Astyanax mexicanus: one gene and its partner. The protein of the gene in region 1 interacts with the protein of each later gene in a pairwise test. Links are inferred from orthologs where the notes say so. Each region holds a gene or a part of one and is shown in the gene's direction. Other genes may lie near its edges. The genes, in order: klhl42 and stxbp4.

What was found.
Region 2: the proteins of klhl42 (region 1) and stxbp4 interact in a two-hybrid assay, tested with the Homo sapiens proteins (2 studies listed by BioGRID and IntAct). The two-hybrid records come from large-scale screens. The link is inferred for Astyanax mexicanus from reciprocal best matches to the Homo sapiens genes KLHL42 and STXBP4.

The regions. Positions count from the first base shown.
Region 1 is NC_064409.1:37,367,290-37,379,800, forward strand, and holds klhl42 (kelch-like protein 42), read left to right. Parts: upstream 1-7,171; 5' UTR 7,172-7,505; coding exon 7,506-8,272; intron 8,273-8,988; coding exon 8,989-9,182; intron 9,183-10,143; coding exon 10,144-10,601; 3' UTR 10,602-11,423; downstream 11,424-12,511. Other genes in the region: cwf19l1 (CWF19-like protein 1), read right to left, coding at 496-615, 2,242-2,451, 2,543-2,622, 2,883-3,024, 3,667-3,813, 3,911-3,995, 4,166-4,281, 4,375-4,589 and 4 more; uncharacterized protein LOC111193017, read right to left, coding at 12,015-12,511. UniProt on the Homo sapiens protein: Substrate-specific adapter of a BCR (BTB-CUL3-RBX1) E3 ubiquitin-protein ligase complex required for mitotic progression and cytokinesis. The BCR(KLHL42) E3 ubiquitin ligase complex mediates the ubiquitination and subsequent degradation of KATNA1.
Region 2 is NC_064422.1:33,823,730-33,836,590, forward strand, and holds the start of stxbp4 (syntaxin-binding protein 4), read left to right. Parts: upstream 1-8,084; 5' UTR 8,085-8,512; intron 8,513-8,662; 5' UTR 8,663-8,679; coding exon 8,680-8,741; intron 8,742-10,446; coding exon 10,447-10,520; intron 10,521-12,787; coding exon 12,788-12,861. Other genes in the region: cytochrome c oxidase assembly protein COX11, mitochondrial, read right to left, coding at 937-1,119, 1,250-1,375, 1,739-1,894, 2,027-2,320. UniProt on the Homo sapiens protein: Plays a role in the translocation of transport vesicles from the cytoplasm to the plasma membrane. Inhibits the translocation of SLC2A4 from intracellular vesicles to the plasma membrane by STX4A binding and preventing the interaction between STX4A and VAMP2.

The DNA.
Region 1 (12,511 bases):
GATCGATTGAGTTATTCCAATTGTCTTTTTTCTGAATTAATAATTGCTATTGGTTTTGTATTTTACTCAAATAAAAACACTCATACATTACGAAACAGCATCAGTAACTCCTCTGATAAAGTGCTGTTTGCATTTTTCTCCAGGCAGGACGTAGCGTTTGGCTCCACATTACTCCAGTGTATAAGCTTGTTATGCTAACTGGCTAACGTTAGTTAGCGAGCTGTGCCAGTGTGCTTTTTTGGCTGTACTGTTTTACACAGCACTCCACAGCGCCTCTTGTGGTATGGCGGTATATTAAAAATGCATACCGGTTTTAATTTCCCCTCTGGTATAACAGATGAACCAGTATACCACCCAGCACTAGTGTGAACCCTGATTCAACTTAAGTTTCAGAAAACCTTGGAATACATGTTAGGAAATTATGGAAAAGGCAATAAAATTATTCTTAAATGACCTTTACTCCTCACTTTTCTGTAAGTAAGTGGCTAAATGTACCTGTTTGAGGTCTGTGTGCTCTGGAATTTCCATCAGTTCCATCTGCTGCTCCTGAGCCTGCACCACGAAGGCTTCCTTAATGTCCTCCGTACTGCACTTCTCCATCGGCACAGGCACCACCTACCATCCAGAGGGTGACATGGGTGGGAATTACAGTTGGTACACTTGGTAAACTTTCAGACTATAGTCGACTATTGTGTTTCTAAAGTAAACACATGCTAAGATTAAAAGACAGGCACTTTGGAAAACATGGGGCTTAGCTACAGAATAATAGGCTTTGTAAATCCTGTTCAGGCTAATCATTATTTCTACTCATAATACTATGTTAAATCTGATGATGATGATGATGATGGTCATCATTGGGAGCTTGGAGTCCCTCAGACTGGATTGCTCATCAGGACAGACTGCTTGTCTGCTCAGACTTAAACTGATGATTGAATGTATGTGAGCCTTCACATGGGGAAGAATAGAGCCTTTTAAAATCTCCCTCATACTGCAGATAAGTTCTGCCAGGCCCAAAATCATAATTTATGTGGTGCTGCTGGACTGACCCTGGGTCTCAAGAGGCCGCCCGTTTGGGCAGCAACCACAAATGCAGGCTACTCCTAGGGTTGCAACGGTATGAGATGTGATTTTCACTGTATGATTACTGTCTCAGAAAACATCACAATATCACAATCCGCAAGCATTTCATTGTTAACCTAAACCAATAACTGAACAGTAGGGCTGCAACAATTAGTCGTTATATTCAACACTGTTGATTATTACATTGGTCGACTACAAATTTCATTGTCGACTAAACGTTAACTTGTAACAGTCCTGCATTGCGCAAAGCGCTGGGGACGGAAGCACAATGGGAGATAGGTAAATGCCTCACTCACACAGTTTACACTGAACTCAGTTTGTGTCTCCAAAAGTGCCCAAACACAACAGATTACATATTTAATCACTAAACATCAGTACTTTCCACATTTAAACAACATTTAGACATTTAAATGCCTTTTAAATCTGGAAGACACGGCAGAAAAAAAATCAATCACTGACTAATCGAACAAATAATCATCAGATAGTGATCTACTAAAATAATCATTAGTTGCAGCCCAACTAAAAAATTAGCTGAGCTGGATCTTAGCTGATAGCTGTTTACAGGCCAATGGCTTTTTAGACAGGGTAACACTTTCTGATCACAAAGATATGTTTATCTTGACTGTAGGTTATTTGGAACATATGCTATTTAACATATAGTAGCAAGTTATCCGCAATGCTAACAGCTAGTCTCAACTGGTTAAAGGCACAATGATTTCAGCTTCAGCAGGCTGGGAGTATGTTACATGCTAACTGTTTTCTGCACTGGATTACTTGCTTACTGTTGTTATCAATGATGAGGAAACCCATATTCATTTTGGGGATGACCAAATTATGACCACTTGCTGCTAATTTTGTTTTTCTTGTTTTGTTCATAGGGATGAAGATCAAATCAGTTTCATTTCTCTTCTTTTTTCTACCAGTTGCTGAGATTAAGTGATGGCTAAGGTGGAAAGGTGTTATGCATGAACATTTTCTGTTCTCAAAAACACTGGTCAATCAAACATCCATGATATAATAACCGTGCATTTTTATACCATGGTATACTGTGAAACCATTTACCGCTGCAACCCTAGCTACATTCACCCAGTATTCCTCAATAGAGCCAAACACAGAGACAATATAGGACTATATAGGACCCCAGTACAAGGAGGGAAGCACCTGTAACTGAAGATGTTGGCTGCGGTAGTTCCTCTCGAACAGAACGCAGCGCTGACCACGGCTCTTATGGAATTTCCTGACAGCACTCTTGTATTTCTCCAGTTCATCTACAGCATCTGATGGCATATCCACCACAGACTGGTAGTGTCCGATGGGCAACAGCAGCACATGGTCAGGGGTGAGGAAGCCCTTAGCCATTGCCATGTAACACTGTGGAATCAAGACACTCTTGTTTAATCATCCTGTTATTAAAACTGGAGCTGGAGTCAATGTCTGTGAGGATTACTGGGGGATAACTTACATGTGTCCCAATACTGATGACCAAGTGCTTCTCCACCTCAGGGCTGGCTAAACAGAACCAACAGGGTCCAGTAGGCTGAGCTGAGTGTTAGAGGAGACTATTATTATTAACCAACATGTGAAATAATGTCAGTTATGTGAAATAAAGAAAAGAAGGTAAATCAGGTTGCACCGATTTGTTTTTAACAGTCAATCCTTTACGGGACAATTATGCAAACAATAGCAAAAATCATGCAAACAATAGCAAATGTATGCCAATGACAAAAATATTCACACATATTTATTGAAATGCAAATTCAGCATAATTAATAATTAGTTTACGATAGGTGTGTTCAACTCACGGGGTTTGCGGTGCTGCCTAGGTTGACCAGATCTGTCGTCCTCTGAATGCCGCTTCCGGCCTCCACCCTGGTTGTGCTGGTGCCGGTGGTGCTGCTGCTTCTTCTGGCCCAGATCAAAGAAGAACTGAGAAGCAGGCTCCTCCTGCACAACAGAGAAGTTTACCCACAGTCTTTAATCCACACAGGCAGTGATACTTTAAAACAAGATGCAGAACAAATGTACATGAACAAAAGCAAAAAAGCAAAAAATGCCCAATGGCATTCCCTTTCAATAGGAAATCTTTATTTAAAACTCAGTGTAGTCCAATACTAGGCTTAATCCCTGTCTGGGAAACAACTCTGTAATGTTTTAAGAGTTCATTCTATTTATTTTTATTTTATTTTAGATTTTAAGTGATGGTAATTTAGTTTTATTCAAATATTTCTATTGGCTTTTTATATTAAATGCAAACATTATACATTCAACGAGACATACTCCAGAAAAGAACAGTAAATAATTATAAACAAAATTAAAATAATGACAGTAAAATGTTACCAACAAGCCTTACAGTACCACCATACTTAATATTATTATTGTTATTGTTATTATTATAACAGACAAATTAAAAATTGTTATATTTAAGGCTTACAGAGACTGTCAGTTACTCCATACCTAGGTGTATTCATCATGTCTTTGGCAGGAAATTCTTCAGGATATAATTAAAAAATGACTGCCACCTAAAAGTTAATTCAAAACTGTGCTAGCTTGAAATTTAAAAAATATCCAACAGTAACATATACAAACCTCATCGAGTACAGATGGAGGAGGCTTTTCCATCTTGCCTTCTTTTAGAGATTTCCTGTAAGGGGTCTCTGTCACATCCTGAGGCTGTTTGACTAATTCTGCAGCATCCATATTTTTCATCGGGACAATGTTAAAAGCATACAAGTACTAAGAGAAACAGCCACAAAACAAAAAAAATTTCAGTCATATCATCCCGTAACTCAATCTTCATTCACAGTATGTGGGCAAAGGGAAAATGTTCTACCTTTTTCTTAGCAGAATTGTTAACTGTCGCCAGTGCAATGAATCGACTGACATGCTGTGCATTTTCTTGAAGAACCAAATGGTTTCTGTTTAACAAAAAAGTACAAATAGAACATACAAACAAAAATGACAAGATTACATAAAGTTGTAATCTTAATAATGTTAAATATCATGATACAAGTTCTAGTTTTGACATTTAAAACAGTCATTTTGTCACACATTAAAATTTTCAGAAAAGGTTGAAAGTGTAGCTAACCTGTATGGCAGTCGTTCATAGTGAACACCTTCCAGTGCAGCAAAGTGGTAGCGAGGTTTCAGCTTTTCTGCAAGATTTGCAATGGAGGAAACTCCACAGAACTTTGTGTCAATTTCCTAAAAGAACAACAATAAGTATAAAATTTAGACAGGTCTATAAACATTGCCCACTAATAACTTTATCAACTTTTTCTACTACAAAGTACTTACAGGATTGTTGCCAAACTGCCACACTCCTCTAGGCCACTGAGAGGTCAGGAGAATGTCAACTCCTTTAAACTTCGAGTTGGACACCAGGGGAGTGACCAGAGCTATGAGATCCTTTGCAGTAAAGCAGTGAGCAGGTGCAGGCTCATGTTGAGCCTCTCTGCCACTCACATATGCAATCTGAAGACCTGAAGCTCCTGTGAAAATTCCTCTGCGCCCTAAAATTCAAAACATGATGTACAGGAGTCAACAAACAGTCTGCACGACTTTCTTTCTTTCTTTCTCTCTCTCTCTCTCTCTCTACATATACATACATATATACATATATATATATATATATATATATAAAACAAATAAGAAACAAACGTAAATAAAAATAAGACAAGCCTCTTACCCAAGTAGATGATATTTTCAGCCAATTCACAACCATCAGAGCTGGAGAAATACTTCACAGTCTCCTGACTTGCAGCCCCCAGAACGTATGTGTGGATGGGAGCTGAAGCAAAACATTTCTCCATTTTTAATAAAAGAACTGAAGGCTGATTTCAGTTATGTAAATTCAGGTTCAACAGACAATGAGTAAAATACCTTTTTTAGCTCCAGACTTGTACGCCTCCCATTCTGTTTCAGCCTCTGGAGAGGTACCAAAGAATTCACCAACGCATAATAATAACTGTTAAAGAAATACAAATTAAAATAAAAGAGAGACTGTAATAGGTGCATCAACTTCCTTATTTAACCAGACACTGTCCAAAACAGACTTACATCAAACTGCCCGCTCTTTTTTTGGATTGTGTTTACTCGGTTAAACAAAGCAGTGATTTTGCCTTCGACGTCTCCACAGGCAAGCCTAAAGAAACACAAACCAAAATTAGAGAAGAGCAAAATATATTATTTAAGAAAAAGAAAAACACCTATAAAATTACTATAATTCGAGACAACTTTATGAACATCAAACAAGGGTGTAATATATCACAAAAAAGTAACGTCTTTATTAGATTTTTTTTCTTTAATGAAAGCTAGACTTGAGTACAAACTATAGTGGATTAATCTTGTAAAAAAAAAGTATATTATAACTTAATTTCTATTATTTGCATTTTTATTATTTTCATATCTCAGCACTGGATTTTATACTGACTACATTTATCAAAAACGAAATTATAAAAAAAGAAGAAAAAACGACATATAATTACCATTTTAAACTAGGCTGACTTTTATTTTGAAATGGTATGTAACGTAAACGCTAGCTAGCTAACGCTATTCTTTAAAACCCTGTAATAAAAATCAATTAACTCGAACTAAAGCTAAGGTGCACAATTAAAAAATACTTTAAATAAAGAACATATTAAAGTGAATTGCGCTGTGAAATCAACAATAAACGTTCATAAGAACAGAAACAGCAGCGCGTGTTCTCAGCTGTGGACTGACTCGGACTAGTGTAAATACAGTAGTGAACACAGTGAACTCTCTCTCACACTCTCAGAGGCTTCTCCCCCATCCCGACACACACACAGCGCGGCGCTGGAGCTCTGATCACCTCCCTTCTCCTGATAAACTAAGTTACCAGTTTCCCTCGAGCTGCTGAAGTGAAGCTGTTTCTCTTCTGATTTTGAAACGCTTTCAGGGTCCGCTCACAAAATACAGCCCTACTCCACACCGGGGAAACATCCTGACCGGCTCGCGGCTCAGAGTTACAGCAGAGACGCGCTTCGGCTAAATACAGTAACCTATAATAATACCTAAACACAAGGCCTCGATACACATTAATAACCGTATAAATCAGCCGAGAGAGCGGAGATATTTACTGCAGAAATTAACACAGAAAACTGTTCAACCCCTAAAAGGTTCCACCCGAGAGAGTTATCCTGCTGAACCAACATTAACATTTAGTGTTTCTTCCGTATCAATCATGCGCGCTTTAAACGCACAATGTGCTTATACTTGTTAAAATGAGCAGCTTGATATTTTGTTGTACATGTTAAAGCATTTTTATTTTATACAAAATTAATCAAATTAAACGTTCTAGAAATCGTGCTAGTGTGTAAGTTGGATATCAGGTTTCAAATATCGACTAAAAAAAGAAATGCGCAAAAACGGCAGGAGAGCAGCTGGCTGTGTCCAAAACCAAGTACATGCTACCTACTACTACTTAGACAATAACATTGTAAAGTGAGAAATATAAGATTATAGAAATTGTGAATTTGTAACTAAAAACTGTATAAATGTATGAAATGTTGAATGATATTGAATGCAGACTTTTTTTTTCATAATGCATGCAGAGCACTATAAGCTGCTCCTCTAACATAACCACTGTTAAAAATGGTCTAGAACCGCCACTAGCTAATAACCAATGAAGAAAACACAAATAAGCACTCACTGCTAGTGCTGAACTCTCCATACCGAGGTAACGCCAATACACATTTCCCTTTTGAATCAGATACAGAGACCCTTTAATCACTACATTGCCTTCTAAAAACACAGTGAGGCAGCGTAGGCAGCAAAGCAACGAGTGAGCAGTGTTGTTTATGGGTTTGAGACACAGACTGAGTGTGACGTAGGAACATCCCGAGACCAAAACAGGAACTGGTTTAAATGGACTGGCTAAAAGGTATGAGGAGGTAAACACGCTGGGTTAGCTAGCTGTATAGTTTTCACTGTGTAATATTAACATTATCTCTCGACATGTGTTCACAGGAGGGGCGCTCACAGGCAGTGGAGGGGAGCAGGTCTCTGGTGCAGGGCTGCTCTCTGTCTGGAGCTGATTAAAGGAGAAGATAATAATAATGCTAACGGTAACGAGCGTTAGCTCTGTGTTCAGCGCTCTGTGTTCAGCTCTGCCCGAGCCGATATGGAGCACAACCACAGGATTTCACACTCGCCCGTCTTATTATTTCTCCCTCTTAGTCCACAACTTAGTCAGCAGCTAGCGAACACGAGTCGAGTCTGGAAGCAGAGTCAGCCCTTAAGCTCCGGGCCCAAACATTTCCATATATAGTTATATAGCTCGGCTTCAGAAGAGACGGGACTCAGCAGTAGAAGCAGGAGCACCAGGAAAAGCTGCTGGAGATGTAAACCTGATCTCGCCCACCAACAAGTGCCCTTTGCCTTCGTCACATGCCACAAACACCGTGACCATGTCCGCTGCAGAGCAGATCATCGAGATCGTGATGGACGACAGGACGTACAACGTGAGTAAGAGCAAGCTGATCGAGAAGAGCGACTACTTCCGCGCGCTGTACAGCTCCGGGATGAGGGAGTCCGGGGAGGACTCGGTGCAGCTGCAGGGCCTGAGCGGGCCCGGCCTGGAGCTGGTCCTGGAGTTCATCAACACCTCCAAAGTGCAGGTCGCCAACGAGACCCTGGAGGACCTGATCGAGACAGCCTCCTTCCTCCAGGTGACGCCCATCCTGAAGCTGCTCCTGTCCGAGATCCGTCTGGAGAACTGTGTGGAACTCTTCAAGCTCTCCGAGGTCTACGGGACCCACGACCTGCGGACAGCCTGCCTGAAGTTCATGTGCTGCCACTTTCACCCCATGCTGCGCAGACCCGAGTTCCAGCTCCTGCCCGCCTCGCTGAGGGAGCAGGTCAGGCAAATGCGCATGAGGGGCACTGCCACGCTGGTGGCCATAGGAGACTTCATGGGCACCTGCCTGGACCTCGCCGACCAGGACGAGCCGTGGTCCATGCTGAGGTACGGGGAGGTGGAGCAGCGCTGGAAGCCGCTCGCTAACAACCTGCCCCCAGACATGGTCAACGTCCGAGGCTACGGGTCCGCGGTGCTGGACAACTACCTGTTCATCGTCGGCGGCTACAGAATGACGAGTCAGGAGATCTCTGCCGCCCACTGCTACAATCCCTGCAAAAACGAATGGCAGCATATAGCACCCCTGAACCAAAAAAGGTATCTGCATCGTTCTGTCAGGCACAAAGGAGAAAGTACTGGATAAAAAGTCTATACAGTGACATGGTTTACTGTAGAGAAATCATATTTCTTTCCAGTGGTGAAATCTGTTTTAGACAGGGTCAGTGTATTCATGACCATTTCGAGTAATCAGTTTTTGTGGATAAGCTTCTGCGATTCTGTAGAACAGGGGTCTCCAATTCTATCTGCAAGGGGTAGGTTCGACTGCAGGTTTTCATTCTATTATTATTATAGTATTATATTATATATTATTATTTTTCTCCCCAATTTAGAAGGCAAATTAAACAACACATTCACTCATTAGGACTCCCCTTGTCACTAGTAATTCCCCCAACACTAGGAGAATGAGGACAAGCACTCACCTCATCAGACACATGTGTAGCCAACCACTGCAGGAAAGTGCAGATACTCTGATCACCTAACAGATGCCAGTGTGGACCATCACTGGGTAGCATAAACCAGGATTCCAATTTTTATCAATTAATCAGTTTTTAAATACTAATAAAATGTGATTCTATTTCGCTGGATTAAAAAACCTGCTGCTGCACCATCACTTTGTGTATAAGATTGGACACCCGTGCTCTTGAACAAACAAACCATTCCAAACCATCTTAATCATGCAATTTTGTTAATTATTGAAATTTCTCTGTTCAAAAAGGGCTCTTCTTCTTGACCAGTGTTATGTTTGTATTTAGGGCAAACTTTAAGCTGGTGGCTGTGAGTGGGAAGCTGTATGCAGTGGGCGGACATTGTTTAGGTACAGTGGAGTGCTACAGTCCTGAGCAGGATTGGTGGAACTGTGTTTCCTCCATGCCTGACCCTCTGGCTGAGTTCTCTGCCTGCGAATGCCAAGGAATGATCTACGTCATGGGAGGCTACACAGCCAGAGGTGCGTACACGGTCTTTCTAGAAAGAGGCTGCTCACATAAACAGGAGCTTGCTTTGCGATATCAATGAGTCACTGCAAATCAAAGTATAGTGGTTTGAGAAGAACTTTGGGAAAGAACTTTTCTGGAATGGTGCAGTCCTGTTGATGTTTTGTGCTGAGTTGCTTGGATTAGTCACTTAGTCATCAGCAATGTTAGTCATCAGCAATGTTGAATACTGCGTGTCACATATTTAAAAACAGGAAAACAAGCTTTCCCAACAAAGATTAGGGTACTAAAGCTGTAAAGGGTGGGCCAACATCATGTTAAAACGCATGCATTGACTCAAGTTAATGTGTGCACAATCATTTAGTATGTTTTCGCTGTGTGATAGTTCATACAAGATTCAGTTGATTCCAAAGAATTTGACTCTACCTCTGGATATGGTTACCATAAATGTTCTGTTTTGCACAGTAAAATGCTGTTTATGAATGCAACTCTCTGTTGTAATTATTGTTGTAATGATGGTTATTCCTTGCCCTTCTATTATGTATTATTGACTGCTGGTTCTTGTTCTCCTATATTTTATTGAGAAACATGATGCCGCTTTTGTTTCAAATCATGATAATCTGAATTCATTTATTTGTTTCATTTACCACAAGTCCTAATATGCCTGGAATGTGATGCAGGCCTAAAATGCAGGAATAGATGTATATATTAGTAATGAAATTAAATTGAACAGATGTGAAATATATTGGGCTCATACTGTCTGCAGTAAAGTAAATAGGATTCATACCTTGTGTTAATAGACAAATGATTTATAATACAATTCATATACATTTTTGCCAGTATAAATAATATTATTATTAATAGTATAAAAATATTATTATGAAATCATGTAGTTATTATATGAAACTTAAAAATACAAATATATTTCAATTCAAGTTTGAATTAAAAAAAAATATCCTTTCTTTATTCTTGCAGACAGGAACACCAACGTTCTGCGCTACTGCCCCACCTCAGACACGTGGTCAGTGTTCCGTACCTGCTCAGCACACGTACGCAAGCAGCAGATGCTCTCATTGGAGGACACTATCTACCTGGTGGGTGGCTACACACACGAGCTGGAGTGCACAGCCAGGGGTCAGCGGCGGCCCAGCCAGACGGAGGATATGCTGACAGTGCAGTCCTACAACGTGCAGACGGGGGAGTGGCTGCAGCTGAAAGAAAACACATCCAAGTCGGGCCTGAACCTCACCTGCACACTCCACAACGACGGGATCTACATAATGAGCCGTGACGTGAGCCTGCCCACCAGCCTGGAGCACCGTGTCTTCCTCAAGTACAACATATTCTCTGATGCCTGGGAGGCCTTCCGGCGCTTCCCTGTACTGGGTCAGAACATGCTGCTGTGCTCCCTCTACCTACCCAACGTCCTGTGAGCCGGAAAGCACGACACGAAAGCTGGTCTTCTAAAGCAGCGGCCAAGGTTGCTAAGATGAATGGGGCTCAAAGACTGATTGAAGGTTTCCCAAAAATTGAGGTCAATGACTGTTGTTTACACTAATAACTAAGGAACTATCCACCATACCTCAGTGAGCATCATGTTAGGAGCATGTTGCTGAGGTACACTTGCATTAAGTATAGGGCTTATGCTGTGTGTAAATATACTTAAAACACTTTCTATGGGAGCAAATGCACTGTGCAATACATTTGTTCAACTTGCACAAAAACTACTAATGGCAATGCATGTACTTACAATCTGTATTCCGAATACAGACATTACAAATGTACTACTGACGCACAAGTCGATTGGCAGCAAAAGGCTTTGGTTTTACATGGCCATAATTATGATGGAACACTAAGAGTGTGATAAGGAAGCATAAATAGTCTTAATAACTACTGCTTAAGCTTTATAAAAACCTTACCTTATTATAGGCCTTGAATTTTCAGGCCTTTTGAGAAAAAAAAGTACAAAGAGCTTGACCAAAACAGCTGTGATCTTGTTTTGAATGGATGATGTTATGAGGGCCTAAAAGTGGAAGAACCAACAAAAAAGGGGCAAATATACAGAATAGGTGGCCCTCCTGAATGCAGTTCTATATATATACTTTTGTTTTATAATTATTTCAAGGTTTCTTAATATCTTGTTTTTTTTTTTTTTTAGTTTTTTCCAGCCTAAAGGGTGACAGTGTTAAATATTGCCACAGATGCCTTGAAAAAGAATTTATTTTATGTTCAATAAAATATTCAGGGGATGCAGATATAGTGCCTTTTTATTTGACTTTTTTCAGTGAACATGTATTTAAATGAACATGAGTCTCTCTGTTAACGCCTTCTAAAATATTTTTTGGAACACAACCTTTTTAAATCAGTATTTACAGTCTGATTCATTTTCATTTGAATCTGTCATTTTTCTGACAGATTATTGTTGGTGATAGAAATGCTGAGGCCCAGCCTTCATCTGATTCAAGATTGCATTTAAATGAATTTTCATGTTGCATATGTATTTATGTGTAATTTATATTTATTTAAGACTACATGCATGTTTTTTTTTTGATAGGTTGACCTGAACTGGTCTACCTTATTGTTAATATTAGCTAAACCACTCAGCCTGCACACCCATGATTCTATTTCAATTAAAAGCTGTTTACTTAAAAAAGAACAGTTCACTAAGGATTCACAAACGTAGCTTGCACTCATATTTCCGACAGAAAACTAAAAAAAGGCTACATCACATAAAATCTTTTAAAACATCATACATCAGACACCAAACAATGAGAAGGCAAAAAAAAGTAAATTTGATCAAATCTATGAACTAACAGATATTAAGATTATTTAATATATTTTAAAGATTAGCTTGTTTTACAGCTAACTGGCCTGCAATTAGCCATCTTCTGGTCTTTGTTCATTCCCTCTGGTGTGCCATCACAACTGAGGTTACTATCTACCTGCTTGGCCTCACACAGAAAGTCCATGTCTACAGAAAAGACCAGCTGTCCATAAGCAGTGTAATCAGAGATAGAGCAGCACCATATAACGTCCACTTCATCATCTGTAGAGTAGACTGGGCAGATGGACCTGATGAAATCATAGTCCCTATAGGTTACTGTGGTCCACTCCTTGTGGTTCAGGCCAGCTGTAAAGAAGCTGTCACTACTTGGGTGATCTGCAGTGACACAGCAGTCACTCTCGGATGGAGCCAGCAGAGGGGGCAGTGGTGAAGCTCTTGATGTTGATGCCTGGCAGTCTGTCTGGGGCCTGGGTTGACTGTATAAATTGGAGGATAACTGTGCTCTGGTTCGATGAGGTAGGCTGAGGTCCAAAGGGATGTTCTCCACCCATATTAGGA
Region 2 (12,861 bases), on another chromosome or scaffold:
CATTATGTTGGAAAAATGAATGTCGATTCCAAGTCCTTTTGCTATCTGGGTATGCCCAAACTTGATTATACTCTTTATCTAGCTCACTTGGTTTAATGAAGTTGATTATGCCATGCCTTGACCTTAACCATTAACAACAAAATATTATGGTCAAAATCTAAGATGGTAACCCATATTAACCAGCTGTATAACCTTGAACTGGCTATGCTGTTTTTACTTGATTATAGACTAACAGTTAATATTTATAAAAAATCAAATCTTAATTTTGTTTATTCTTAATGGCCACCTCATTGTGCAGGGTAAATACATTAAGAATTTCAAATGTGTTTTTCCAGTTCAGCTCTTTTTTATAGCCTTGCAAAGCGTTGTTTAGCAGTTTGAGTGCCATCGAGATTGCCTGATCACTCGTTATGTAAGTGCAGATATCTCTACCTCCACTACAGTTGTGTAACATCCAAATCATGCAGATTTGTGTCCCTAAAGTCAAACACGATAAAAATCAGATCACATTATAACCCAAACAAGCCTCTGAGCTCTAATACACAATAATATGTTTAAGAGACCGACATGGACATTGTTTTTGCTCGCAATTGTTTCTGAGCTGCCTAGAGAATTTCATATTATTGCAACAATCCCACCCCCTACTGTCTTAAAACAGGTACTGTTTCACTTACATGCACTCTAGTACCCCGAAATAATCATTTCTTGCAGTGTACAGCACAGCTTTTAAAGCTGATGTTTAATCCAAATGTTGATTAAAGTAGAATTTTACATGAACATGTTATTACTTGAGCACGTTATTACACAGACAGCATGTAGACATTAATAAAAAGGCTTTAACAAATTATATCCTTTCTATCAATGACACTCTATTAGATTTCTTGAAGTTTTAATAAAAATTTAAAGTCTCTGAATAAAGCATCATGTACTGCTTATTTAGCTGTATCCAGGAAGCGGTAATTTCTGTCCATCTTTGGCTTCGAAAAAAGTATAGGAAAGTGTGATTGAGTCCACCCAGGCCATTCTAGGGTCCTCATCAAACTCTGGGTCGATGTAAAAGAACACAGGCATGTCCACCTCTTCGTAAGGGTTTAACCTCTGTTCCTCAAAGCAGAAGCACTGTGGAGGAAGATGAAAAACCCAGTTAATTTCAGTGGACAGAAAAAATGACATCTGACCAAATCCGGACTGAGCCTAGGTTAGAACGAGAGTTCAAGTACACTATCCATTCTGATACATTATCCATTACCTGAATTTTGTTGAAGTACTGCCCAGCATCAAACGGCACAATACTGTAGGTAGATATTCCTATAACCGGTTTGTCTGTGGGATTTCGTGCTTTGTAAAATGCTAAAGCAGTTTCTCCTGGCACAACCTGAAAAACACAATGCACATCATTGACTTAGTTAGTCAAAGTTACAGTACAGAGTGCATTAAAATTAAGTATTATAATTGTTAAGTAGAGGGACTATATAATACAATTTGAAAGTCAACGTTATATTCATACCGTTCCAGTCAGAAGCAATATTTGTATTGTTGTTTTGTTTGTGTTCTTCCATTGGTATTTTACACATTATGTATAGTAGAATAGAAATGGCCCAAACGTACTATTTTTACCAACATGCCTAATGTATATATTTTTTTTGTAGTTACCTTTCTGGAAAAACAAAATTTTGTTCTGACAGAAACAATATGCTAAAATGAATGAAGTATTAATTTAAGGTTTTTATTATCTCACATAGATCTCTGACTGCTGAGGGCGAAAGTTCCACTGGAGGCTGGCATGTGTGTCAGCATTGAAGGTGACTTTTATAACGCGGTCCTTAACCGGCTTCATGGTCTCCACTAATTCTCCATCATGTCCTGCGATTGCTGTGCCACCCAGTCCAGTTGCCTGAGGTAAAGAATCATCATCATCATCATTCATGTGCAGAGTTTTAAGACACAGTGAGACTACGTTTGGGTTATTTATCCTTGGCTAAGGCGAGAAATAGTCAGAACCATAAATGAGACACCCAGTACTAACCTGGCAGTATAGTCTGTAGAGTGGCACTGAAGCATATGTCAAGCCAATCATTCCAACCCCGGCTGCTGCGATATATGTGAGGGCAGTCTTATTCCTCTGTTTCCAATCATCTTCTTGGTTTTGTGTTTTTTTTCTGTTGGTTTTAGCTCCTCTTGTCTGGTTAACAAAACGCTGAGATGTTCTCCTGCCAAAGAGCTGGCTGCTGGAGGTGGCTAGTCCTCGAACATTCAGGTTTTTAGCTAGCTGTACACAGTGTTTTGCACAGCATTTACGGATGGCAAAAGAAAGAAGCATAACTCCCAATCTCTAGAGGAAATATTCTTTAAGACAGTTCCTTTACCAACCTGTACAAACAAACAAAACAAATAGCATTTTAACATTAACATTTTTACAGTGGTATTTTTTATTAAAAGGAAACAGACTATAAATACACTGAAGACCAAGTTTCTAATCGGGATTTAAGACTTGTCCTGGACTACACATTGTTTTGAATAAATGTTGCTTATAACCATAATAAACCCATAATCAATCATTAAATGTCCAAAAATCTGCACATACATGCAAATAAATACATATGTGCTAAACGTGGATAAAAAGAAAACAAAGCCAAACAAATAAGACAACATTCACATTCAAGTATACTACAAATAGACTTTAGGTATATATGCAGAAATATAGAACATATAGAATTATGAAGAGCTCACTGCCTTTCCTGCACCACTGTAGTTATAAATATCAAACTGCATTCAGTCACAGGAACAGTGTGGTCAGGAGGCAATATTAAATGATTAGTTCTGCATCATGCATGCCACTCTAACTCATCCCAGAGGTACTGGATAGATCTGCATCACTCCTGAGAATGCAGTTCCACTGCTTCATAGCCCAGTGTTATGTGGCTTTATACCCCTCTAGTCAGCACTTGACATTGGTCATGGTGCACTTACATTCAAGTGCACTCCCACTGAACCACCACAAGGGGATTATGCAAGCTGTAAAGTAGCTGAGAACTTCTAATTAGAAGGGGTGTATCAACACCTTTAGACTTTTTATGTCCTACCTGGTAAACAAACCAACTAGAGAAAGACTCACATGAAACAGTCTGTAAATGCCTATGTAGTACTGTCATCAAGTTCAGCATAGTGTAATCAACTACTGTACCTTGCTTACAGCAAAGAGTTACATTTATAAAGCATTTTTTAAAGAATACACAAAAATCCTGATTTTATTGCTAAAGTAGAATATATTCTACAAAAAGTGTTTATAGTTAAGTTGCCCAAAAATACTACATTTCCAAAAAAGTAGGGATGTGCCTATCGGGGAATTCTGGGCCGATGTTGATATGTAACATTTTACATGTATATATCTGCCGATGCTGATACACATATTTAGAACTTACAGAAAATCTAGACACCCCGGTATACCCTTTGAAACAAGCTTTCCACTAACTGTATACAAACAATAAAATAAATGGTTTCTTTTATTGTTGTTTTATTTGATTAATTTATTTAGCTTACTGCTTTGCTTAGACTGGCCAGAGCTTTAAGTTCCTGTTCTTAAGTTTAACAAATTAATTATATATTTTAAAACTATTAAAACTTTATCAATATGAACTTGTTTTCACTTTCTGCAAATAAATGCTCTAAATGACTATATTTGTATTTGGAATTTGGGAGAAATGTTGTCTGTAGTTAATAGAATAAAACAACAATGTTCATTTTACTCAAACATATACCTATAAATGGAAAAATCTGATTCAGAAACTAAAGTGGTCTCAATTTTTTCAGAGCTGTATATATAGAAAAATATAGCTTTATAGAAAAACATCTGCACCTTACTGTTACTGTAACTGGCTGACTGTCTAGGTACTGTTCTTCTACTGTCAATACTGTTTAACACCTTATAATGCAGTTAGATACACTTATTGGGAATAAAATACATCAAAAAGTAATATATATATATATAATATCTGACTGGTATAACGACACTAACGACGCAGCCAGTAAATAAACCATATTACTTCGTTTAGGTTAACCTGCAATATAACCTAGTACTGTATCCACCTGTTTTAGCTAGGGTTAGACCAGAGCCGGTTAGCTAGCGGTAGGTCAGTTATCTAACGCTGCCGACTTCAGCGTATTCCTCCTCGCCTTCAGAGTTTTACACAGAGCTGAATAATGTCACCGAGACCTGATTAACCTGCAGAAATAAAGCGACAGTACCAGAACAGCCCATAATCTCTCTTACCGAGACAAATGACCGCTCGGGTTTTCCACACAGCCCTGCTAAAGCTACAGACACACTGTTCCTACAGCCGCACTGCTCCCCGGAACACACAGCAGCGCTACTGTAGTTCCTACACACCGCTCAGCCCGCTGCTGCCGCAGACCAGCAGCCGCGGAAATATTACAAAAAACTAAATATTTGTACAAATGTGGATGTATGTATACTTTATTTATATTTAGGTTTATACATACATATATCTTTTTATATTTAATTCTGTGTTTCATTATGACAATTCAAAAATAATGAAAAAACAAAATCCACAATTTCATAATAAATCACAGAATAAAATTTAAAAATATGTAATTTTATTTAGTTTTTAATTTCTGCCTTCTGCCTGATCATAAAACAAATTTAAATTAGAATATCAATATTTTTTATTTTTTTCATTTGAATTTTTGCAGTTTCATCATAACAATTAAATATGAAAATATTTTTTTGGTTTTGCATTTTGATTTCTGCAGTTTCATCATAAAACACAGAATTAAGTATAAAAATATGTATTTAGATTTCTTTTCATTTTTATTTCTTCAGTTTCATCATAAAGCACAGAATAAATATAAAAAAATATATTCTCTATTTTTGCATTTGAATTTCTTTAAACTTCAAAATTGAATTATTAAAATATGTAAAAATACAGAAAAAAATAAAAATACAGAAAAAAACAATTAAATATGAAAACATCAAAAGGAATATATGCATTTATATAAATTAACAAAATTCATTACCCTTTAACAAGAAAAAAATATATATTTGTGTGCATGAATTACCAAGAATTGTCACTGCAAACGAGCATCCAATCATGTTTACTGTGCTAAGTAAAACAATTACACAGTGTCTATAGCTGCCTATCTGTTTAGATAGCTGTAGCAATAAGGCTAAGCCAAACAAATTAAGTATTATTTTCTAATTTAATAAAGTAAATAATAAATGGCTTTAAATATATGGCTTTAAGTCAAGTCAAGTCAAGAGGCTTTTATTGTCATTACATCTGAGTACAGGTACACAGTGTGATGAAATTACGTTCCTCCGGAACCATGGTGCAACATAGAACCACAAGCAATAGACAACATAAAGTGCAGGAGTGACGACAGTGCAACATAAAATTATAAAATTATAACACTAAATAACAATAAATACAATAAATACAAAAGACGAGACAATTTAAAGACAGGACAGTGCAGTACCGATACGGTATAATAAAGTGTATAGTGGGGATAAGGTGCAGAGATGTGTGACATACTGTAACATATAGAACATATATAATCACAGCAGTTACTGAGGTAGAGTTTATAGTTTTTAAGAGTGCAGCAAATAAAGTCATGTCAGCCTCTGTGTGCTGACTGGGTGTGTGTGTGGGTGAAGTTCAGTTCTTTGTGAGTGTAAAGGGGGGGGGGGTGTACAGTTTAGTTTTGTGTAAAGGGGGGGGGGGTGTACAGTTTAGTTTTGTGCGAGTGTGTTGGGTGAGTGGTGGGTGGGGTGGGGGTTCAGTTCTGTCTCTGTGCGTTGAGAAGTCTGACTGCCTGGTGGATGAAGCTGTTGCAGAGTCTAGTAGTGGAGGCTCGGATGCTCCTGTATCTTCTGCCGGACGGCATCAGAGCGAAGAGTCCGTGTGAGGGATGGGTGGGGTCGTCCACAATGCTGGTGGCTTTGCGGATGCAGCGTGTGGTGTAGATCTCAGTGATGGAGGGAAGAGAGACTCCGATGATTTTCTCAGCTGTCCGCACTATCCGCTGTAGGGTCTTGCGGTCTGAGGTGTTGCAATTCCCAAACCAGACGGTAATGCAGGTGCTCAGGATGCTTTCTACAGTGCCTCTGTAGAACATGGTGAGGATGGGGGGTGGGAGATGTGCTTTCCTCAGTCTCCGCAGGAAGTAGAGGCGCTGCTGGGCTTTCTTGGTTATGGAGCTGGTGTTGAGGGACCAGGTGAGGTTCTCTGCAATGTGAACACCGAGGAACTTGGTGTTATCCACAATTTCCACAGCAGAGCCGTTGATGTTCAGCGGGTGGTGGACACCTGGAGCTCTCCTGAAGTCAACAACCATCTCCTTGGTTTTATCCACGTTAAGAGATAGGTTGTTGGTTCTGCACCAGTCCGTCAGCCACTGCACCTCCTCTCTGTATGCTGACTCGTCGTTCTTGCTGATGAGGCCAACTACAGTTGTGTCATCAGCGAACTTGATGATGTGGTTTGAGCTGTACTTTGCAGTACAGTCATGAGTCAGCAGAGTGAACAGCAGTGGGCTGAGCACACAGCCCTGGGGGGCGCCGGTGCTCAGTATGGTGGTGCTGGAGGTGTTGTTTCCAATCCTGACTGATTGTGGTCTCTCAGTCAGGAAGTCTAAAACCCAGTTGCAGAGGGAGGAGTTCAGGCCCAGCAAGCTCAGTTTTCCTATCAGATGCTGAGGGATGATGGTGTTGAATGCTGAACTGAAGTCGATGAACAGCATTCGAACATAGCAGTCTTTGTTGTCCAGGTGGGTGAGAGCCAGGTGGAGCGCAGTAGAGATGGCATCGTCTGTTGATCTGTTTGGACGATACGCAAACTGCAGAGGGTCCAGTGAGGACGGGAGCTGGTTTTTGATGTGCCTCATGACCAGCTTCTCAAAGCACTTCATGATGATGGGAGTAAGTGCAATGGGACGGTAGTCATTAAGGCAGGACACTTGAGACTTCTTCGGCACAGGGACGATGGTGGTCGTCTTGAAGCACGTCGGCACGATTGCAGTACTCAGAGAGATGTTGAAAATGTCCGTGAGAACATCCGTGAGTTGTTCTGCACATCCTCTGAGCACTCTGCCAGGTATGCTGTCTGGTCCTGGCGCTTTCCGTGGGTTGACTCTGAGTAGAGTTTTCCGCACATCAGCTGAGGACAGGCACAGTACCTGGTCGTTTGGAGGAGGTGTAGTCTTCCTTGCTGTCGTGTAGTTCTATGCTTCGAACCTTGCGTAGAAGGAGTTCAGTGCATCTGGAAGGGAGGCATCACTGTTACAAGCAGGGGAGGGTGACTTGTAGTTGGTGATGGTCTGGATGCCCTGCCACATGCGCCGAGTGTCAGTAGTGTCCTGGAAGTGGGCGTGGATTTTCTTTGCGTAGGTGCGCTTTGCCTCTCTGATCCCCCGGGAGAGCTTGGCTCTAGCTGTTCGGAGGCCAGCCCTGTCCCCTGACTTAAAGGCCTTGTCTCGGGATCTCAGCAGCGCACGCACCTCTGCAGTCATCCACGGCTTCTGGTTGGGGCGGGATGTGATGGTTTTGGAGACAGTAACATCCTCAATGCACTTGCTGATGTAACCAGTCACTGAGTCTGTGTACTCCTCCAGGTTGATGGAGTCATCAGAAGTAAAGGTAAAACATAGTACGCAATTCAGTACAGCAAGGATTAACTACACAAGCTTATAAATTGTTTATGCTAAGTGAACATTAGTGAACAGTATCTACCATGCAGTAACAATGCATTTAATATATTTTCACAAGCTAAAGTAAATATAATCATCAGTACTTAATCTAATTCAGTATGTATGTTGTTCTGTGTTTTATATTTGTGCATTCATTTTCTATTGTATTTATTCTGTGTTGTTTTAAGTGCATTATTATTTATTTGCATTTATTCTGCTTGGATTCTCTCTCTCTTTCTCTCTCTCACTCTCTGTCAACCCCCCAATTTTTATCTTTCTCTCTCTCTCTCTCTCTCTCTCTCTCTCTCTCTGTGTCTCTCTCTCTCTCTCTCTCTCTCTCTCTCTCTCTCTCTCTCACACACACACACACACACACACACACACACACATGTCAGGGTAGTATGATTTGACACTTTCTTGCTTATTGTGTTCCTGGCACAGTGCCACCATGTGGACGGTACCTGCAATGCATTATCACTTGTATTTTGGGTTATTACACACTGTACAGTACATTTTGTATTTGAAGCCTGTTGTCAGATTTCAGGATATTTTAATGGTAAGTCATTTGTTTATTTATCGTCTGTATTTGTTAGATGTAAATTATAAAATGTCCCACTCAGTCTATTTTATTTACTGTACCCAGTGCCTAGGAATTATTTATGTATTGTAATTTACTCATTTACATACCTCTCTGAAGACATGCCCTGCTGGTGTCTAAGTGTTTAATGTCTGGTCCTTTGTTTTGCTAGTAGAGGAAGACACATCATCAGCGGTGGCACTGGAGGGAGAGGTGAAGCGCACCATGTGACTGGTGGGTATCAGGGGAGATTAGTGGATAGGTAGGCGCATGTCTGTATCTGTCTGGGTAGATTGCTGTCTCTCGGTCATCTTAGACCGTCCTGATTTGAACCGTCATCTCCCCCGACCCAGTGATGAGGTTGCCTTTATAATATTTCATCAGCTGTTTTTGGACCTGCGATGCCACTGCTGCCACAGTCAGCGGAGGCAGAGCGCTTTGACGGACTATCCCTGCTTTACTGGTAGGCTGTCTTTCTTTTTTTTTTTTGATGTATGAAACCTGCAGATTTAACAAAGCTGTGAATGTTTGGAAATCTGCATTTTGTATGTGATGTGTTTTATCTGTGTTCAGTCATTTGTAAATGAAATATCTGTAATTGTCTGTAAATACAAGAGAGTGAATGTGACAGGGAGTTTGAGGTGAGCTGTGTTTATGCGGATGAAGGGATTTGCAGCATGGTTGTGCAGTTTAAGCATGGATTTATGGATCCACTTTCGTTGGATATGAGGATCTTTTAAATTTCCTACGCTCATGCAAAGCAGCAGAGATTCACACAGGCACAGTCTTCAACTGTCTGACTTTATATGATCGAGGATACACATTTAGAAGAGCATGAGATAGAAGGGGGGGCTTCTTGGGAACAAAACAGGTTATCTGTGTGAAGCACTAAAACACAAGTAACAGGTCTTAATGAAGTTCATATACAGGCTTTAATTGGTTAGAGCACTCAGCATGGCTCCGGTACACTTCTCAGCGTGTATCCTTATGTGGCTTGTGGAAAGATTAGACTGAATTAAGTGATCAGTTTAAATGCCTCAGCTGTTCTTTAGCCAGTGTTGCTTTAAAGCCAGTGATCAACAACCTGAGAAGATGCTTCTTTTTACAGTTTAATCTGTGACTTGTAATGGAGATTTCTTAGTAGATGGCTGATGATGGAAGGGGCTGACCACTTCCGTTCCATTCCAACTGTTGCTCTTTTCATCTTTCCTCATTCCTTAGCCATGTAGCTCCACACACAAAGATTATAGTGGAGGGTTTACAGCTTGTTTGGGGAGGGGGATGGTACCCTACTAAGTAGGATCATCTGATCCGAGTCACACTTTTTACCTACGAGCAGGATTCGTACTTTTGCTTGTCTAAGCTGGCCTTTACCTTCATTTCCACCTGACCGCTACATGAACTCACGTGACTGGTGTTCATCAGTTTGTACACTCCATTCAAGTACAAACTGAGTCTGTGACAGTGCTCTGCAGTTCATGCGTGTTTATAAATACAATCGATGAAACATTTGCATGTTTGAAATTTGCTTTATGTTTAAATACATGTTTTGTTTTTTTCGCATGCCTTTCAAAGCTCTTTCAGTACCACAGTCAACGGCCTAGATAAGCATGGAGCTTTTGAATCGTGTTTCTTTCTGTCTGTTATGGGGATTATATTCAACAGAGATCAGGCTGTAGTTTACCAGATTGAAGGCACGCTTTTCCAATAGCAGCAGTGTTTACCTTTGCATAGCAGCGTGTATGAAATAAACCTAAGTGCAGTAACCTACTTACTTTGGTTAATCACTTTCAATAGTGTATTTATTTTTAGAGTCATTCTGGATTACTATTACTATATTTCTCTGTTCATTCATCTGCATTCAGAAGACAAGACCATCCTTTAGAATTTAGCCCTTCCCATTAACCAGATATCAATCATTGTTTCTTTATGGGAGAAATCAATTTTTATTTTTTTAGCACACAAAAATAAATGTTTTATATTTCTTCTTCGTTCATAAAGGAACTTATATAAAATAACTTACAATAGTAAAGAAAATAAGTGACTTCTCCCAAAAAAGGGAGAAATGGTTGACATATGGTTGTTTGTTGAAAGGGCTCAAATGTAAAAAGGTAAGCTATTTTTCTGTTGTAATCACATTCAGACAACTGATTTTGTCTGTTTTTCAGGACCATCATGGGACCCCACGGCATCAACCGTGCTGTACAGAGACTGGAGTTTTCAGACTGCAGAAAAGGACTTGGTAAAGTTCAGTGCATGGATATATTCATATATATATATATATATATATATATATATATATATATATATATATATATATATATATATATATGAAGAGAGAGAGAGAGAGAGAGAGAAAGAAGCTTATGAGAGAGAGAGCGAGAGAGAGAGAGAGAGAGAGAGAAGCTTATGTATAAAAAACAAATTGAACAGGGAATTAAAACTAGATTCTAAAATGATGAACGATATGTGATAAGTGAATCAAGGATTCGTGAGCAATGAAGGTATTTTTGTTTTTGACAATTGCACACAGATTTTATCGTCTCCAAAGAAAAGCATTACCAACAGAAGTCCTAATAGGCCTGTCTGTTCACTCAGCAGTCGTCTTTGCAATGCTGGCAGGCAATTATCTCTAGTCATGTAAGACCAAAATATTCGAAACTGCTGATTAAAAGCATATTTTAAATCATTGCTATGATCTGACCAAAACCTCATCAATAGAATGTAGTGTTTGGCTCAAAAATGTAGAAAAAACATAATATTTTTTGCCTGTTTTGGCTACTGCACTTGCACTGATCTCCAAATTGGGGGGAGCTTTGTCCTCTAGCACCTTGACCCACCCCTGATCTGGGCAGAACCAACAAGCTACTTGCCTCTTTTTGTTGAAGGGCTTTATTTGCACAATTTATCTGTAAACAGGCACCATAAAGAGTGTTACAAGAACTCCTACTCATATTTCAAACAGTGGCTGATTAGTAATGTCTCTGATTTTCTGTACAACCTGTTAAATTAAAACTATTAGTGTAAAATTAGTGCAAAATATTTGTCAAATTTACTGTGTAGTGATGGAGCACCACAAATCCATGTGGTACTAGTGAGTTACTATCCTGCAGGTATACCCTGCATCTGAAATGTAAGAAATTCTGCCCACTCAGCCAAGATTCTGACAACACAGGAAGGCAACACAGCTAAACATAGTCTATACTTTAGCAATATCAGGACACATTTTTTGTCATTTTGATTGAGATACTTTCATCACTACAATACACTAAAGACTTTCATCACTACACTTCCTTCAAAAGGAGATAGGTAAGGCATCAAGTCTGCAATTCTTGCATTTTAGACACAGCCCTGATCTTGGTAATGAATACCTTGAGAGGTTTTAAAGATCTAGAAGTTCACCAGAACCAGGAATGGGCACACATATTGTGATTTAATGCAATCTAATCCTTATAAGTAGTGTTTTAACATCTAGTGTAGCATTTCCAAAAAAGTACAGGGTGTTACTCCAGCAAATTGGGTACCACTTTAAAATAAGACTACCTTTATAAAGGGTTTATAAATGATTTACAATTAGTTTATTAATGGTTACTAATTAGGTTGTAAATGCCTTAAAAATCAATCAGTTATAACACATACGTAAAAAGGGCAACAGTATAGATGGCTGTGGGTTCACTATTTGGCAAACAACAGGTAATTGTTGCCCTTTCTACATATGTGTTATAACTAATTGTAAACCATTTACAAACCCTTTATAAAGGTAGTCTTATTTTAAGGTGGTACAGCAAATTGAAGCAAACTTCTATTTTAGTTTGGATTTGGGGGACGTGTATTTTGTATATATCTTATCACTTCCTTATAGAAAATATCAGTTATTCTTACTTTTTTTGACAGCTTTACATGTACAACCCCAAAATCAGAAAAGGTTGGGTCAGTTTGGAAAATGCAGGTATGGAGAAAAGGCAGTGTTTCACATTGCTTTAATTATATTTGATTGTAAGATTGATTGATATTTCATGTTTGCAACTTTATTTAATTTATTAATATAAATCCATTTCTGCATTTATGACCTGATACACATCCAACAAATAAAATGAAGTTTACTTGAAGAAATAAAAAAGAAAAAACTTTTTATATTTTGGTTTGTACATTACATTTACCTTTTTTTAACTGTAAAAAATGAAAATGTGATTTTTTTTTATTTAAGGTAAAAATGGTTAATATATGACAGATATAAATTTGTTGGAAGGACTTAATTAGAAAAAGTCGATGTCATTTTGCATTAGCACTGCTAAAAGTTGCTTTGTTAAGGAATAATGGTAATAAATGGTTTAAACAACTAGCTATTGAAGTTATTTTATAAACAGTGGATTTTCATTGATGTTGCCTTCAATAATCCTTTTTCAGCACTCTTTTCTGCTGCATATTTTCTATGTATCAGTACTCAGGTGATATATTTCTTGTGCGTTCCCCATTGTTCCAGTGATTATCCTTGCTTTCTTCTGCCAGGGGTGAAGATCATTGGAGGTTACAGAGAGCTGAGTGGTGAAGAGTTTGGCATTTTCATTAAGCGAGTCTTACCT